Coturnix japonica: one gene and its partners. The protein of the gene in region 1 interacts with the protein of each later gene in a biochemical or structural test. Links are inferred from orthologs where the notes say so. Each region holds a gene or a part of one and is shown in the gene's direction. Other genes may lie near its edges.

Region 1 (2,856 bases):
GCAGGGGGGTTGACAGAGGCTTCTTTACCCTGGTGGTAGTCAGAGTTATGTGGCTTCTTTCCGTTCCTTTTCAGAAACCAACAGTGATGACTTCTTATCATTTCCTTGCAGGCCCGTCTCCGATTTCCCATCGACTACCCCTATTCTCCACCTGCGTTCAGGTTCTTGACCAAAATGTGGCACCCCAACATCTATGAGGTAGGTGTTCTGGAATAGCTTCATGTATTGGAACCACAGCTGACTGAGGCTTTTAGGACAGCCTGTCCTCTAACCTGAAACTGGTTCCAGGTTAGTCAGGCATAAGGGCTCCATGCTTATGCAGCAAGGTCGTGGTGCTTGAGCTAAGGGTGGATGCAGAGTGGTGGCTTGCTGGGCCCTGCAGTGGAGCAGCTGCTGCTTGAAGCCATTGAGGAGCACCGGGAGAGCTGCGCCACGTGTTCAATGTCAGCTGGTGACTTGGCAGCCCCATCTGTATCATACCAGTAGTGTCAGGGTGTTGATCCAATGCCTGAGAGTGCAGACAGCGTGGTAGCCTTTTCAATATCCCATTCGAGGTAACAAAAGCACAGGCTGGGACTTCCTCACATGTCTTAAGCCAAAGGAAAGAGCAGCCCAGGGTGCTGGGGCAGAGGATGAGCTGCTTCTGGGCCGTGCTTGGGGCAGCAGCCCCTACTAATGCTATTTTTCTATGTACTTTCAGACTGGTGATGTCTGCATCTCCATCCTGCACCCACCAGTGGATGATCCACAGAGTGGGGAGCTGCCATCCGAGCGGTGGAACCCTACACAGAACGTGAGGTATGGGCAGGGCTGGGGAGAGGGAGGGAGTGAGTGAGTGGGGACCTGTGGGAGGCTGCTGGCATCCATTGGGTTGCAGGCAGCTGCAGACCTGCCTTGGTTCTTACTTGCTTGTGTCTCTTGGCTGCCAGGACCATTCTTCTGAGCGTGATCTCATTGCTGAATGAACCCAACACGTTTTCTCCAGCCAACGTTGATGCCTCTGTGATGTACCGCAAATGGAAGGAGAGCAAAGGAAAGGATCGGGAGTACACAGACATCATCAGGTGTGTGGGGAGCTGGGCTGAGACCCAGCAGCATTCCTATAGACTTTGAGAGGGCTTAACTGAGCTGTGGTTGTGTTACATGGGATAATGAGATCCTGAGGGCGCAGCCCTGTTCAGTCTTATCTGCAGGCTCCTTGGGTAGAAGGATTCTGGCTCTGAGTGTGGCTCTCGAGGAGCGGTTTGGCTGTGTTACGTGCTCAGCTTTGTTGCTGATGTGAGCCCTGGCTCTTTTCAGCTCTAAAGCTGAGGGTGTGGGTATGCAGCACTGCATTGCTGCCAGGTCTGTGGTTTGGGGCTGGCCAACCTTAGCATGGCAACAGGGGCCCTCAGAGCATGGGACACTCCCAGTCCTTTGTGGTGAGTGAGTGTGAGCTGGTGCACAAGAGGGAAAAAGAGCTGCATCCCCAAGCTGTGCTGTGCAAAGCCCCTGTTCTCACCTCATCTGCTTCTCCCCCCTCCAGAAAACAAGTCCTGGGAACAAAAGTGGATGCTGAGCGGGATGGCGTGAAGGTCCCCACCACACTGGCAGAGTATTGTGTAAAGACCAAGACTCCGGCCCCAGATGAGGGCTCAGACCTCTTTTATGATGACTATTACGAGGATGATGAGATGGAAGAGGAAGCAGACAACTGCTATGGTGATGAGGATGACTCTGGCAATGAGGAATCTTGATGGCCCTCTGGCACTGCAAAAAAAAAGTGCTGTAAACTACTGAATTTTACCTCAACTAGGACGAACTGGTTTGAATTTAGCATCTGTCAGCCCTGAAATTAACTCTACCTCACAGGGAGACTGTTCTGCTGTTGTAAAGGAAACCCCACCTGCTGTCATTGTAAAGGGGGGGGAGGAAGCAAAAAACAGAAACAAACCCTATTTTATGAACTCATGGAGAGGGGGGGTGGGTGGGAATGGGAAAAGTCGTGTTGGGGGTATTTGCAAATGCACAAAAAGCAGGGAGCTTGTGCTTCTGGCTGGGTTGAGGAGTTATGGGGAAGCTGGAGTTGTTTGGACACGATCAGCTCTTTTTGTGGAGGCTGTGAAGCTGGTGAGTGGTCGCTTTGGTAGAAAGCATGTAAGATTTGCTGTGGCTTTCTACAGTCATTAAACTGGCTGAATAGGAAGGGCTGCAGGATGGGCACAACTGCCCCCTTCCCTGGGGCAAGGTTGTCCTGCCTGATTTAGGACTGTCCCCTGTGGGACCCTTTTTCTGCCCTTCCCACACTGCTAGGGCACAGGTCTGGACTGTTTGTAGCTTTTAACTAGTTAAAGGGATGGGATAATTTGGAGTCCTTTCTGCTTCTGTTTGTTGTTTTGTTTTTATTTTTCCTCTTTTTTTTGGAAACTATTTAATAAAGTAGTTTAAGGGAACAGCTGTGTGGGTGCCTGAGGCCAACTTTGGATGAGCTCAGGCTGCAGATGGATGGTGGGGTTGGGAGGGTTCCTCCAATAACCCTCATCTCTCCTTCCCTCTGTAGACTGGGGAGGTTTAACCCAGAGAGTTTGATGTGCGCAGGCAACTCTGTGTGCCCCAGACCTGCCCAGGCATCACCCATATGCCTCAACTTGGAGCAATGCCCTTTTGCTGCCTGGTTTCTTGCTGCTTTCTCTGATGTGGGTGCAGCTGGGCAGCACCCCAAGCCCTGCAGGCCAGGAATGGCCAGGTTTGTGTGCCTTGTTAGGGCTGTGTTGGCCTCTGCCCTGCTCCAACCTGTGCCTCATTGGGGTGGATGGGGGTGGGGGGGGAAGCACTGCTGCTTGTTTCTTGGGGCTGGGGCCTCTGTGCTCCACAACA
Region 2 (4,151 bases), on another chromosome or scaffold:
AACGACTGGATGTTGTGTTGAGGGACATGGTTTAGTGAGAGCTATTGGTTATAGGTGAATGGTTGGACTGGATGATCTTTTAGGTGTTTTCCAACCTTGGCGATTCTATGATTCTAAGGCCAGTTTTTGAAAATGGTGTGAAGCTGCTGGAGCCAGCATGCAAGTGAAACATTTTGGAGAACAAAGAAATCTTTTGTTTCTCTCTGTTGCTTCCCCATTTCTCTCTTCATAAGGAGCTAGTGCTCCTTATGGGCAGAATTCTTCATAAAAAACTTTTCTGGGCAGAATTCTTCATAAAAAACTTTTTTAATGATTCCATGCAAGTTGCTTTAAGTATCTTTTGGTATAATTCAGACCAGCATTTGACTTCATCTTGGCAAGGAAAGTCCCCATAGTTTGGGAGGATACAGTACAGAGAGCCATGATGAAGCAAAATACAGAGGATACATTAATCCCACCCTCCTCCTTTACATCACAGTACCATGAATGTTTATTCCTGAGGACTGCGGAATTATAAGGCAGGACAGAGTCCAAAGCATTACTTTTCCAAAACCTTGATTTCAATAACTTGGCTTAATTTTGGCATGATTTTGCATTATCCATCCCATGCTTTTGAAAATTAACTGCCCCTCTTGTAATCCATGTGACAATGATACAAAAACTAGCAGTTTTTATTTTATCTTGCATTAAATTCATATACATTTGTTCAAAGATCACAAACATCATTATTTAGTTCATGATCTATTTCTCTATCAGACCTTCAAGCATCTCCCCGTCAGCTCACAAACTGAATGATTAAACTTTTCTTTCAAAGAATTTCTACCCTATTCTCTCCGCAATGTTGTTTTCTGAGTTGTTTTTTTGTTTTTCATGAAATTCACAATAACATTACAATTTCTAATTATATTTAGGTCATTGTGACCATTTCTCTTTAACTGCCATTTTTCAATTCAGTGTTTACTCGAAACTAGTGACTCTTGATGCCGTTCAGATGAGAGCAGTTTAATTTGGTAATGTCAGATGGGGATTTTCTTCAGTGTTCATTGTAACTTTAACACTGGATACCACGTAATTCAGTGGCCTAGGACAAGCTAAGAATTAGTATCTAATAAATAAAAAAGCATTTGCGATTTCATCATGAGCAGATACAAGTCTTAGCATTTCAGACTGGAAAATGAGTGCACCTGATGGCTCTAGAAGCGGCCTAACTCTGGGGGGCCAAGCAGGATGACCCTTTAGGGCAGTAAAACGTACAGGCCAGAAGACTCGGACCATCAACGCGACCCTGTTGAACGACTGCGCCGTTGTCATTTCCGGCTGCACACACACCTGCCTTTGTCATTTCCGCCGGGGCAGCCGGAGAAGGCAGGCTTGTGGAGAGCAGCACAACCAAAGGGCAACTCCTCCCCGCGCGGGCGCCGTGGCTGCCGGTTATTTTTAGTTCCGGACTCGAGGCTCAAACTACGCTGATCTCTTCCGGTGGCTTAGGTGGGGAGAGGTTCTGCTGCGCTGTCTTTGCTAGCCCTTTGCCCGCCTTTAGGGAGAGGAGAGGAGGCGGCAGCGGGCTGGGTAGACTTCGCGTCTACCCACGGGTTGGGTCCTCTCCACGCCGTGGGTCGCTCCGAGCCAAGCTAAGGGGGGCGGTGCCTTCTCGCTTTCTGAGCCGTGCTGAGGGGAGGCGGTGGCGGATCTGGGCTCGGCGGTAGCGGAAGGGGCGGGCGGACGCGGCCTGACTCTGCGGGACGTGCGATACTGGTGAGTGCGGGAGGCCGCGGTGCTGTGTCGCAGCCAGGCCAGCAACGCAGCCGGGCCGGGTGGGGAAGCTCAGCTGGGCCAAGGCGACAAGGGCTTAACGAAGCGTGGCCCGGCTTTGAGTCATACAGCGAGGAGCGCGGGAGCAGGAGGGGCTGGGCCTGGCCGACCTGCCCGCCCGCCTTTCTTCTACCGGGCGTACACCGCGTTCCAGAGACAGCGGGAGTCGTTGTCTGACGGGTTCGGAGCTCCGGCCTCGAAGTTGCGGGCCGGTGCGGGAGGCCTCTAACTACGCACTGGAATTACATCACCCCGCCGGACCGCGAGGGCCCGCGCTGCCGGCAACCCTCGCCTCACAGATCTGCCTGTTGTCTGCCCTGCCCGCTCCCCTATCGAGGTCGGCCCGACCTCCCTCCCGCCTCCCAGCCCTTCCCGGCACGTGGCCTGGACCGCCACGGTCGTTGCTTTAGACTTACATCTCTCAGATCCTGACCCTTCGGGCCCTTCTTTCCAGAGCCCTACACCTCTTCTGCCTTCTCACTGGCCCTAGGACTGTATGCCCAGGCCGTGTTCATTCTAGGCCTCATCTATTCTATCCTGAGGCCTCTGGAGCTTTTCCCGTAGCTTGTCTCATCACCAGTGTTAGTTTTTTGTCTGTCTTCACTTCTCTTTTCTCCTTTATTCTTCACGTGGTTACCTTTCATTCTGTTGTTTCCATCTCAAAACTAGTAGCACTCAGATCTATATAGGACCCGTGTGGTTGTAGCCAAATTTCTCTTGTGTACCCACCCAACCCCTTACTGTCATCTCTAAAGTATTTATTTCCATTGTTGTTATCTTCCTCAGCTTTATCAAGGACTGTGCCCCAGGTTTTCCCTTGTAGCTCCCTAATGTTGTGTTCCCAGGGAGAGTTTCCCAACCCTCCTCCCTTTCTCACCCCTCTCTCCCCCCCCAAATAACCTCTTACCTGTTTGTTTGTTCATGTATTTATTGCCGCCATCCAGATGGCAAGTCTTGCAGTTGTTTGTCATTGCAGCTAATCACCTCCTTTGTCTCCCAGTAACTTTGTCTGCCACTGAAAGCTGTGTCCTTATTGTGATCCTTTTCCAATCCTTATTTCCTTTTCAGCCCTATTTCTTAATCATCACCATTCCCTTATCACCTTTCCTGTTTCAGCTTTCTTCCTCCCATATTTCCTTCACCGTGATTTTTTTTTTTCCCCTTCCCTTTTGATCTTACTTTCTTGTCTTAAAAATCTTCTTTGTCATCTCACCTCTTTTTCCTTTGGCATATTCCTTTCCTTTCTAGGCTCACTTGCTGTCCCCTGCACTTTAAGTCCTCCAGCTGTGCCTTTGACAAGAGAGGAATGTGAGCTTAATTCATCTTCAAGAGTTAGGCGATTATAGATTATTTACTTGTTTCACCTTACTTTGTTTTCATTTGTTTGTTACTGACTTCCTTAATAGCCTTTTGTCAATAAATGCTTTCATATATCATCACTTTAATACATACCTAATGCAATGCTAGTCTAGAAAAAAAAAATCCGTCTTAGGACCATCCTCTTAGTCCTGCCAAATGGTTTTCATGGGGAGCAGAAATAACTGGTGGCTGTGTAACTTAAATTATGCTAAATACCGTTCGTTATGCTGAATTGTTGTAATACTTTAAGTTGGTACTTATGAGATACAGGGTGTGTTAAGAATACATTTGCTTTGAGGAATTAGTAAAGTACGTCTTCAGTACCATGGTACATGGTTTTTGCTCCAGATATGCTGGTAGTGAGCTGCTGCAGTACTGTCATTCGATGGTAAGGAGTGTGTTGCATTGGCACTTGGTATCTGCTGGCAACTGCTGTAAAGTAGTCTTTCCCTGTGCTTTGTGATTTTTCTTGTTTCTTAGGAGTTGTTACCAGATTTCTTATTTTATGTCTGTCTTACTTGGTTTGGCTCTTAAGATTATGAGATGTAACCAATCTTACTGTTGTGATGTATTTGAGGTATGATTTAAACACGAAAGACTGCTGTCCTGTGGCAGTGTAGGGAATACAATGAATCTAGAGAGCAATTTCTGTACTTAACTTTAGAATCCTAGTTTGTTGTCTAATTTTGACAACTTGATCTTGTTTTCTCAACTGAATATATGCAACCTAGTAACTTCACAACAACTCGGAACAACTGAACTGGGCTTCTGAGCTGAATTACCCCTCTGGAGGAAACTTTTTCATTTGTCTATTCTATACTGAGAATAGTTTATAGTTTAGGCATCTGGATTAGATGTACACATTTCACTGCTTGAGTGACAAATTGATTGTGCTGGCTCAACTAAGTTATCCTCCTTTCACTTCTTCACTGCATGAGAAAATTTCATTGCATCTCTATAAAGCATGGAAATTAATTTAA
Region 3 (4,287 bases), on another chromosome or scaffold:
GAGATTCCATGAGCCCAGGAGCTCCACCCAAGTTTGCCTGCCCATGCAGTGAGAGGCCAAGAGCAGCAAAGCCAATGGGCTCTGGGTAGGCGCTGCTGTGGTACAGCTGCTGCTGTGGGGAGAACTGACAGCTTTGAACACAAAAGAAAGCATCGCAGGTTGACTTTTGTATGGTACGTGTGTGGGATCAACCGAGCTGTGTGCTGGAGACAGGGCCATGTGAGGCAGCACTCACCTGCATGGAGAAGTCTGTGGTGACACAGCCGACCTGCACGTTGGCAGGCACGGTGTCGCAGTGCCCCGTGTCCTGCTGGACCTGCTTGAGGTTGCTTGGCGTTATCCAGCCCTCGTCATCATCGCTCCCTTCATCCTCATCCTCTTCCTCCTCGGCACCATCCCCATCCTCTGAGCTCTGACACTCGTCGGTGGCTGCCGGGCTGCTGGAGGTGCTGTGTGTTTTCTGCAGAGATGGGCAGTTGGTGCCGTGTATGCCAATAAGCTGGGATGTGGGGCAGTGAGCACAGCAGCCTCACCAGCATCTCCTGGAGCTCGTCCTCGATGTCGGGCAGGGGCAGCCTCCAGTAGAGGAAGGAGCTGAACTCAGCACTGTCAGGCAGCTCCGTGCTGCTGTCGTGGCCGTGCTGCTGCTGGCTCTTCCGCGGGCGTTTGTGCTGGGGGAGACACAGCAGCCCCGGGCTCCACATCCCCGCTCCTCTCACCCCTCACCCCCCTTTGTCCCCATCACCCCCTGTACCTTGGTGGGCAGGTGGAAGCCGGCGATGTGCAGCGTGGCCTCGGGGTGACACGGGCTGGAGCTGAGCTGCACCTGTGGGCAGCGCCGGGATCAGCAGCGCCCGCAGCCCAGCCCAGCCCCATCCCATCCCATCCCATCCCCCGTTACCTTGTCCGGGGGCTGCAGGCGGACGCTGCCCGGCCCTGTGATCTCGTCCTGCATCTGGCAGGTGAGCGCCAGCACCTGCAGGTCGGCGGCCGACAGGCTGGGGAAGTCCCCGGTGCGCTTGGCGAACTCGGTGACTGCGGGACGGGGCGGAAGAGGCCGTTACCCCCATTATCCGTTACCCGTTATCCGTTACCCATTATACCCGCCCCCCGTCACTCACCGTTCCGCACATACTCAGCCCTCGGTCGGCGGAGCTGCAGTTCGTAGGGCAGCGCTGCCAGGCGGCGCCGCGCCCGCCGGTCCCGGATCTCGGCCAGCACCTCGGGCACGGTGTACACGCTGCGCGCCACGTCCTGCGGGCGGAACAAGGCTCAGCCCGTGCCCGGAGCGGCCCCCAGCCCCGACCCCGTTCCGGACCCGCCCCATCCGGCCGCTCTCGGTCCGTACCTGCAGCGCGGCACCGCTCAGGAACGCGCCGGTATCGGCCACCACGTGCGGCACGCGGCCCATGTCCGCCATGTTGGCTGCGTCCCTCTGCGCCGCGCGGGGGCTGACGGGAGGGCGGCGCGGGGCAACTTCCGGGCGGCGCGGTCAGGTGCGCGCGGGGTCACATGACGGCGGAGCTGCAACCGGAAGCGGGAGAGCGGAGGAGCGGTGAGAGCGGGAGGGGAGACGGTGTAACGGGGTGTAACGGGGTGTAACGGGGTGTAACGGGGTGTGATGTGACGGTGTAACGGTGTAACGGGGTGTGATGGGGTGTAACGGTGTAACGGTCGGGCTGCGGGCAGCTGCTCCGCTCCGCTTTACCGGCAGCGGCTGCCGGCCAACAGAGGGGAAGCCCGGCGGGGCGGCCCGTGGCACCGGCTGTGGGGGCTGAGGGGCGGCACCAGGTACCGGGCTCCGGGCGCTGCCTCACACCGCGCGGTGCCGGTTCGGTCCCGGTTCCCGGTTTTGGGCGCAGCTCTGAAGCTCAGCGCGGTGCAGCGCTGCGCCACGGCTGTGCCGGTGTCCTGATGTCCCGGTGTCCTGATGTCCCGGTGTCCTGATGTCCCGGTGTCCTGGCTGTCCCCGCTGTCCCGTGCCGGGCGCTGCCCGGTGTCCCGCAGTGCGGGTCGCGGTGGCCGCTCTCGGGCGGGTGACGCTGCGGCTCCACGGGACACAGCGGGAGAGGACGAGGCTCCGTGTGTGCGGTGACGGGTTGGAACGAACGAGTTTGGTGAGCGATGAGTCCGAGCCGGGTCGGCTCCCGTGGCAAAGCCTGGGCTGCGCTGTGACTGTGCACTGCGGGGCTGCGGGTGGTGCCTGAATCTGACGGAGCAGCGCGGAGCCCCAGGTCCCGGTGAGGTGGGTCTGTGCTGTGGGGCTGTTGGTGGAGCAACAAGTGCCCCCGGGAGGAGCTCAGTGCTCACTGCCCCATCCTGCTCAGGGCTCGGTGTCAGGCCACCTCGTTCCGTGGGCCTGGATAGTGTTTGTAATGAAGTAAGTGATGGTGTGGAATCAGCCAGCAGTATCCTGGGGGGTGATCTGTGGGCCGGAGTAATGGAGTTGGAATAACTTGTAATAGTATCACAGTCAGTCTTGGACATGACCACAGCCTGTAGCTGGCTCCCAGCTGCCAGAGAGGATGGAGGGGCTCCTTGCCATCCCCTGCTCACCTCTCGTACCCCAGCAGTGCATTCCCAGGGAGGCTGTGTGAGGCCTCCAGGCTCAGCCTTGTGCCAGGCTGGTGTCAGGAGGGGTTTAAAAGGAGTTGGCAGGGGTTGAGGAGGGCCCCGTGAGAGCAGTGTGGTACCATAGCTGACTGCTGGTGTCAGACTGAGCACCTCGTGCTCCTGCGTGATCCCTGACCATGGGGTTTTCCTTTATGGTCAGGCATTTCAGTAGGAAACCTGCAGCCTCTGCCACGTGGGGAGCTCCAGGGGAAAGCTGTGGCAGATGGGGGAGAGGGAAGTGCTGTGGCTGCTGTCAGCGATGCAGTGCCCCAGCAAAAGGAAGTGGTGAGTGCTGGGAAGGTGCAGGCCGTGCTGGGGTCCGGCCCTGAGGTTGGAGAGTCTGCAATTCCCCTCCGTGCTGAGCTGCAGCTCCGCAGTGTGTTGGAGTAGGGAGGACCAATTTTTCCATGGTGTTTTGCTGCCTGGCAGCCACTTGGGCTGTCCTTGAGGGACATGCAGCTCTGCTGTGCTGTGAGCAGACCCAGCTCATGGTGCTGCTGTCTCATCCTTTCCAAGGGATCTCACGTACCATACTGTGCCCTCACCTGCAGACTTTGGTTTTCGTTTGGTGTTCGGCAGCACTGGAGGTTGCTCTGTCCCCATGGCCAGAGTCAGCAGCAGCCTCGGGGTTGGGGTGAGGTGGAGTTGCTCACAAGGCTGCCTGCAGGCTGCTGCCCCAAGTGGCTGTGTGCTCTTATGGCTGTGTGCTCTTATGGCTGTGTGCTCTTATGGCTGTGTGCTCTTTCTGCTGTGTGCAGTGCTGGACACAGGATATCTTTGGGCCCCAACTCAGCGTCGGTGCTGAGTCCCCATCTCTCTCTCTCCCTTCCAGGCCGGGGGTGATGACATGGCCTCTGCAAGCTCCAGCAGGGCCAGGGCAGGGCTGCCCTGTGAGAAGTCCCAGCTCTCTGTGAAAGGTGAGTCCTGTGCAGGGCTGGGAGCTGGGCTTTGGGTGCACCCAGGTGGGGGACCTTGGGGTTCCTTGGTGGGGAGGGGCCGTGTTCCAGGCTCTGTGGTGCATGCAGCCTTTACCAGGCCTTGGTGCTGGTGGCCTCTGGAAGCAGAGCGCTGCCTGTGGGGGGCTCTGCCTCCTCTGCTGGGATGTGGCTCCGTGGCTCTGCCAGGGCGGTGTTTGTCCTGCAGTGGCCACGAGATGGCTCCAGATGCTCGGAGCTGTGTCCCAGCACTGCCCACAGCCCTCTGGTCCAGGCATGGCCATCTAGAGAGTGGCAATTCTCCCTGGCCAACTGCCTCCTTCCCTTGGCTCCTGCAGAACCCCTGTGTCCCTGGCTTGTCATAGAGCACGGGCTTTCTCATCAGGCTCCTGGGGCTGGGAGCAGCTGAACAGGGATGGTAGGTGTCTGTGGGGTGAAATGGGAGTGGGTGAAGCATGAGCGGGGCTGTCTCAGCCCAGTGCTGTCCCCTTCCCAGAGCATTGGTGGCAGAGATGGGGTGTGTAAGTGTGAGGCAGTGTCCTCGGGCAGGGGCTGTGGCTGTGGGGCTGCTGCTTGACCCCTGCCTGTCCCACTCAGTGGTGTCCGTGAAGCCCAAGGCCCACAGCCGCCAGTCACGGATGAACTGCTACGTGGAGGTGGCGGGCGATGGGCTGCCCAGCGAGACCAAGAAGACGGGAAAGCAGATGGGGAGCTCTGAGCTGCTGTGGAATGAGATCCT
Region 4 (4,111 bases), on another chromosome or scaffold:
TATTTTTCTACCAGCGTTGATGCAAGTTACACCTTTTTGCCCAGGTTTCCTCCAACAGCTTCAGAGTCCTGCAAGTGCTCCTGTAGCTCTTCATGCATTAACCACAGCTCCATGCAGGCTGCCAGGCCACGGATTCACCTCCCTTCAAACCTCTGGGGGAACATTTGCCTATTTCTTTTCTTACACATTCAGCAATGCTTTGTGCTTTCAGAGGACAACACATCAGTGCCTTGTCCACACAGCACAGTGGTGTTCAATGCCTTGTCCATACAGCACAGTGTTGTTCAATGCCTTGCACACACAGCACAGTGTTCAATGCCTTGCACACACAGCACAGTGGTGTTCAATGCCTTGTCCATACAGCACAGTGGTGTTCAATGCCTTGTCCATACAGCACAGTGGTGTTCAATGCCTTGTCCACACAGCACAGTGATGTTCAGTGCCTTGTCCATACAGCACAGTGATGCTCAATGCCTCATACACACAGCACAATGGTGTTCAATGCCTTGCACACACAGCACAGTGATGTTCAATGCCTCGTACACACAGCACAGTGATGTTCAATGCCTCGTACACACAGCACAGTGGTGTTCAATGCCTTGTCCATACAGCACAGTGGTGTTCAATGCCTTGTCCATACAGCACAATGGTGTTCAATGCCTTGCACACCCAGCACAGTGTCTAGGTGCAGTGTAGTTCTGTAGGCAGCTCTGTGACACAGCATTGTCCCCATCAGCACATCTCTTCCCTGTATTATGAATTAACGCACTTTATGCTCGCTCTGTCTCATATCTGCTGTTCCATTTGGTCCCTGGAGCGAACAATGACAGTGAGCAGCTCAGGATCTCTACAGCAACCGTGGAACAGCTTCACCTGCCAGTCGTTACTTGTAGGCCGCGGTGTGAAGGTGTGAGGAATCCAGCCCAGCTGTAGCAGGAGGGGCTGTGTGACATGTGTTCCATGGTGATGTTAATTGTTGTGGTGAGGGCTGAGGTGACACCGCGTGCTCTCCCATCACAATGATGGCACCGTACACCTGTGGTGTTTCCCAGCCCGGCGCCATTTTCTCTCCACACACCCAGGCCGCCTTCCCGGGGAGCCCCCAGCAGCCAATAGGAGCTCGGCACCGCGGGGGGCTGCTGGGAATTGTGGTCCGCTACTAGGAAGCGGGCGCCATGTTCTTCCGGGCGTCGTGACGTCACGTACGTGCGTGCGTGTGCGCGCGCTTGGAGGGGGGGTGGGCGAGCGGCGGCGGGGCCTGGCGGGTGGCGGGGCGGGGGGGGGGGGGGCGGGGGGGGGGGGGGGGGGGGCGGGCACCGCGCGGAGCTACCGCCGCTATGGAGCCCGACTCGGTGATCGAGGACAAGACTATCGAGCTGATGGTGAGTCCCCCCCCCTCCTTCTCCTCCTTCTCCTCCTCCTCAGCCTCCCGTAGGGCCCGGCCAGCTCGCTCCGTGTGGGCCTGAGGGGCCCGGCGCTGCTCGGAGGTGGCTGCGGGCCTGGCCCGGCCTCGCGCCTCTCCCTCATCCTCCATTGGGAGCCGTGAGGTAAAAAAAAAACGTTATAAAAACCAATGAGTAATTGAAGGAATAGAGAAACTGATGGATAAACGTGTATCCAAATAAAGGGGGGGAAGGTCCGGAATTCCGGGCCTGGGGGGAGCTGCCCTTCCGGCCGCCCAAGCGAAAGGCCCCGAATTGCTGTTAATGGGGGGAGCAGCTCTAAGCTGTGAGGAATGGAATCACCAACACAGCCATGTTCGCTGCTTCATAACGCTGTGTGCGTGCTGTGATGCTGCTGGTGGGATCCTGCACAACGCAATGGAGCTGGATGGTAAAAAACAGCTGGAGTGGGCTGTTATTGCGCACTGAAGGGGAGCTGGGTGTAACGGGGCTCACCCAGCAGCTCTGCGAAATGCCAGCTGCCCTCTGGTATTACTGTGGGGATGCAGAGATGGAAAGTCAAAAGGAAACGGCGTTTCAGTGCTCACTGTGCATCGCTGAGGCCAGAAGCTTAAAGGCCGTTCTGGGTGATCCCGCTGTCCCAGCTTATTTGGTGAGCTCACTCATTGCCAGCGACATCAGAGTGGCTGCGGTGCAGGTGTGTGTTCCAGCAACAGAAAACTGCCTAATGCATTTCCAACACAGGCAGTGCATCCCAGCAGTGCTTTCCTAACTGTGCCAGTGGGTTGCAAATACCGCCTGGCCTTGGGGTGTGTGAGCTGCAGTGATGAGGCTGGAAGGCATCGTGGCCTCGCTCAGGTTTCTTGGTTGCCCTTTGAGAAGCGTTCCCTGCTTTTGGCCAAATTACCAATGGGTAGAAGCAAATGGAATTTCTCAGTGCTGATAGTGGCCCTGTCCCCTTTTACAGCTGCATCTTGGAAATGTGCAAAGGGAAAGTCAAATATGGGTGGGATATTAAGATTTTCATTACATAGGAGGCTTAAGAAACAAGTTTTTTCCTTTTTCAAAACAGTATAAAATTTTAGTAGGGTGAACAATTAATTCCCAATAGAAATCGCTATTCCATAAAGCACAGCTGGTAGTTTAATTTTGATCCTTCCAAAGGCTTGTGCAGAACCACTTGTGTCTGAGCAGAAATGCTTCCCTGGAGTCACCAAAAGCCCATTGAAATGAAGCCCTGCCACAAAGGTTCTGTGCTCTGCTGTGGTGGCAGATGAGATTCCATGGAAGGTTTGAAACAAAGAGAGCAGAAGTTGTGTTGGCAGTTTTCAGCCAGCAATCACAGTGTTCTGTGCAGCCTCTTGTTGTTCATAGCAGCATTAAACATTGCAAAGCCAGAGATGAAGGTGCAAAACCTGATGGGATGCTCCTCTGTTCATGAGTGTTATTGTCAGGAAGAAGAATGGCTGCTTGCTTACTGTTCCAGCCTCCCATTGATCCAGCAGGCTGTATTTGCAGCCCTTTGGGTGCTTGCTCAGTGCCTTCCATTGCCAGGGCTGAGTCCTCAGTACTGCAGGTGCAGATGGATGATGCAGGAGTTCTGAGTAGCTGATAAACCAGAGATAATGTATCAACACGTTAGTTGCATAAAGTCAGAGAACAGGGTGTTCTAACACTCAACTTTTCCTGTGCTGGATGGATCATTTTATTTAAGGCAAAATCAGTCATAGAAATAACCCCGGTCTATTTTTAAAGCTGAAATCTAAGAGAAATATCTTAAGGCTTCAGAGTGACAACTTCTATTTGCTGTATGAAGTTCTAGCTCATGTTCTGAAGTTGCCATCTTAGGGCAGCTGGAGGCTTTAGCTATTATGTTCTAGCTCTGGAAATCACATCGTTAGCCTTTTAACAGCGATGAGCAGGTGATGTAGTTAGGACTTGCCATAGCTTTCAGTTGTACATGGGATATGGTACTTGGCCCTGTGCTGGCACTCGGGGGGTGCTATGTCCATCGGATGCACTGTGTGAGCGGGTGAACGATTGGCAATGAGGAGTAAGGAGGTAATCCAGAACAGATGGAGGGATGCCAAAAGGATGGAAAGGGCTCTTTCTTTGCCTGGTTTTGGTTTTCTCTGTGAAATCAAATCACAATAACCTTTGTGCTCTTCTAAAGGATTGGACTTTCTGAAGGTGAAATACTGACAACAAATGATTTGTGAAATGTGTGGGATGGAGGGCTGTGCTCAGCAGCACCACCACCGTGTGCTTGTTTACATTGCGTTGGAACTTGTATCTTAAAGTTACATATATGGAAAATATTCTCCTTCATGTGGCACCTTTGTTGTCTAGAATGTCTCTCTCATTACGTTGTCCAGTGTTTTAAGTGCCTCCGTAAATAATATAAGTGAAGAACTTCAACATTCAGTATGTTGCCAAAAGTCTTTCAGTTTCTCCTGGCAGAACTTTGATGGGAGCTGCAGGTCTTCATACTCACAAGGTAACAACATCTCAGAGCAAAGTGTTTCTCACAGGACCACTTTACCAGCAGCAACTTGTGGAGATGGTGCTGGTGCTACACAGGATTCCCTGGCTCACTGTGGCTGGACATGCCCCCAAACTGAAGCTTTACAGTGCAAAACAAACCTGAGCGTTCTGGTTGGAAACACACATACAACAGCTGGATGTGTCTCCATAGGCCTATAACGTTC

What was found.
Region 2: the proteins of CDC34 (region 1) and CUL1 form a complex in vitro, tested with the Homo sapiens proteins (3 studies listed by BioGRID). The link is inferred for Coturnix japonica from reciprocal best matches to the Homo sapiens genes CDC34 and CUL1.
Region 3: the proteins of CDC34 (region 1) and WWP2 form a complex in vitro, tested with the Homo sapiens proteins (2 studies listed by BioGRID, with this or other methods). The link is inferred for Coturnix japonica from reciprocal best matches to the Homo sapiens genes CDC34 and WWP2.
Region 4: the proteins of CDC34 (region 1) and FBXW11 form a complex in vitro, tested with the Homo sapiens proteins (2 studies listed by BioGRID). The link is inferred for Coturnix japonica from reciprocal best matches to the Homo sapiens genes CDC34 and FBXW11.

Annotation. Positions count from the first base shown.
Region 1 is NC_029543.1:1,770,799-1,773,654, forward strand, and holds the end of CDC34 (ubiquitin-conjugating enzyme E2 R1), read left to right. Parts: intron 1-111; coding exon 112-198; intron 199-700; coding exon 701-798; intron 799-929; coding exon 930-1,064; intron 1,065-1,525; coding exon 1,526-1,736; 3' UTR 1,737-2,350; downstream 2,351-2,856. UniProt on the Homo sapiens protein: E2 ubiquitin-conjugating enzyme that accepts ubiquitin from an E1 ubiquitin-activating protein, and catalyzes its covalent attachment to other proteins by an E3 ubiquitin-protein ligase complex. In vitro catalyzes 'Lys-48'-linked polyubiquitination.
Region 2 is NC_029517.1:75,356,459-75,360,609, forward strand, and holds the start of CUL1 (cullin-1), read left to right. Parts: upstream 1-1,347; 5' UTR 1,348-1,488; intron 1,489-1,494; exon of another isoform or gene 1,495-1,755; intron 1,756-4,151. UniProt on the Homo sapiens protein: Core component of multiple cullin-RING-based SCF (SKP1-CUL1-F-box protein) E3 ubiquitin-protein ligase complexes, which mediate the ubiquitination of proteins involved in cell cycle progression, signal transduction and transcription.
Region 3 is NC_029526.1:16,981,902-16,986,188, forward strand, and holds the start of WWP2 (NEDD4-like E3 ubiquitin-protein ligase WWP2), read left to right. Parts: upstream 1-1,483; 5' UTR 1,484-1,512; coding exon of another isoform or gene 1,513-1,555; intron 1,556-3,444; exon of another isoform or gene 3,445-3,445; 5' UTR 3,446-3,460; coding exon 3,461-3,530; intron 3,531-3,886; exon of another isoform or gene 3,887-3,966; intron 3,967-4,145; coding exon 4,146-4,287. Other genes in the region: RNA-binding protein NOB1, read right to left, coding at 236-460, 534-671, 755-826, 902-1,035, 1,122-1,254, 1,349-1,420. UniProt on the Homo sapiens protein: E3 ubiquitin-protein ligase which accepts ubiquitin from an E2 ubiquitin-conjugating enzyme in the form of a thioester and then directly transfers the ubiquitin to targeted substrates.
Region 4 is NC_029528.1:13,937,712-13,941,822, reverse strand, and holds the start of FBXW11 (F-box/WD repeat-containing protein 11), read left to right. Parts: upstream 1-1,307; 5' UTR 1,308-1,337; coding exon 1,338-1,382; intron 1,383-4,111.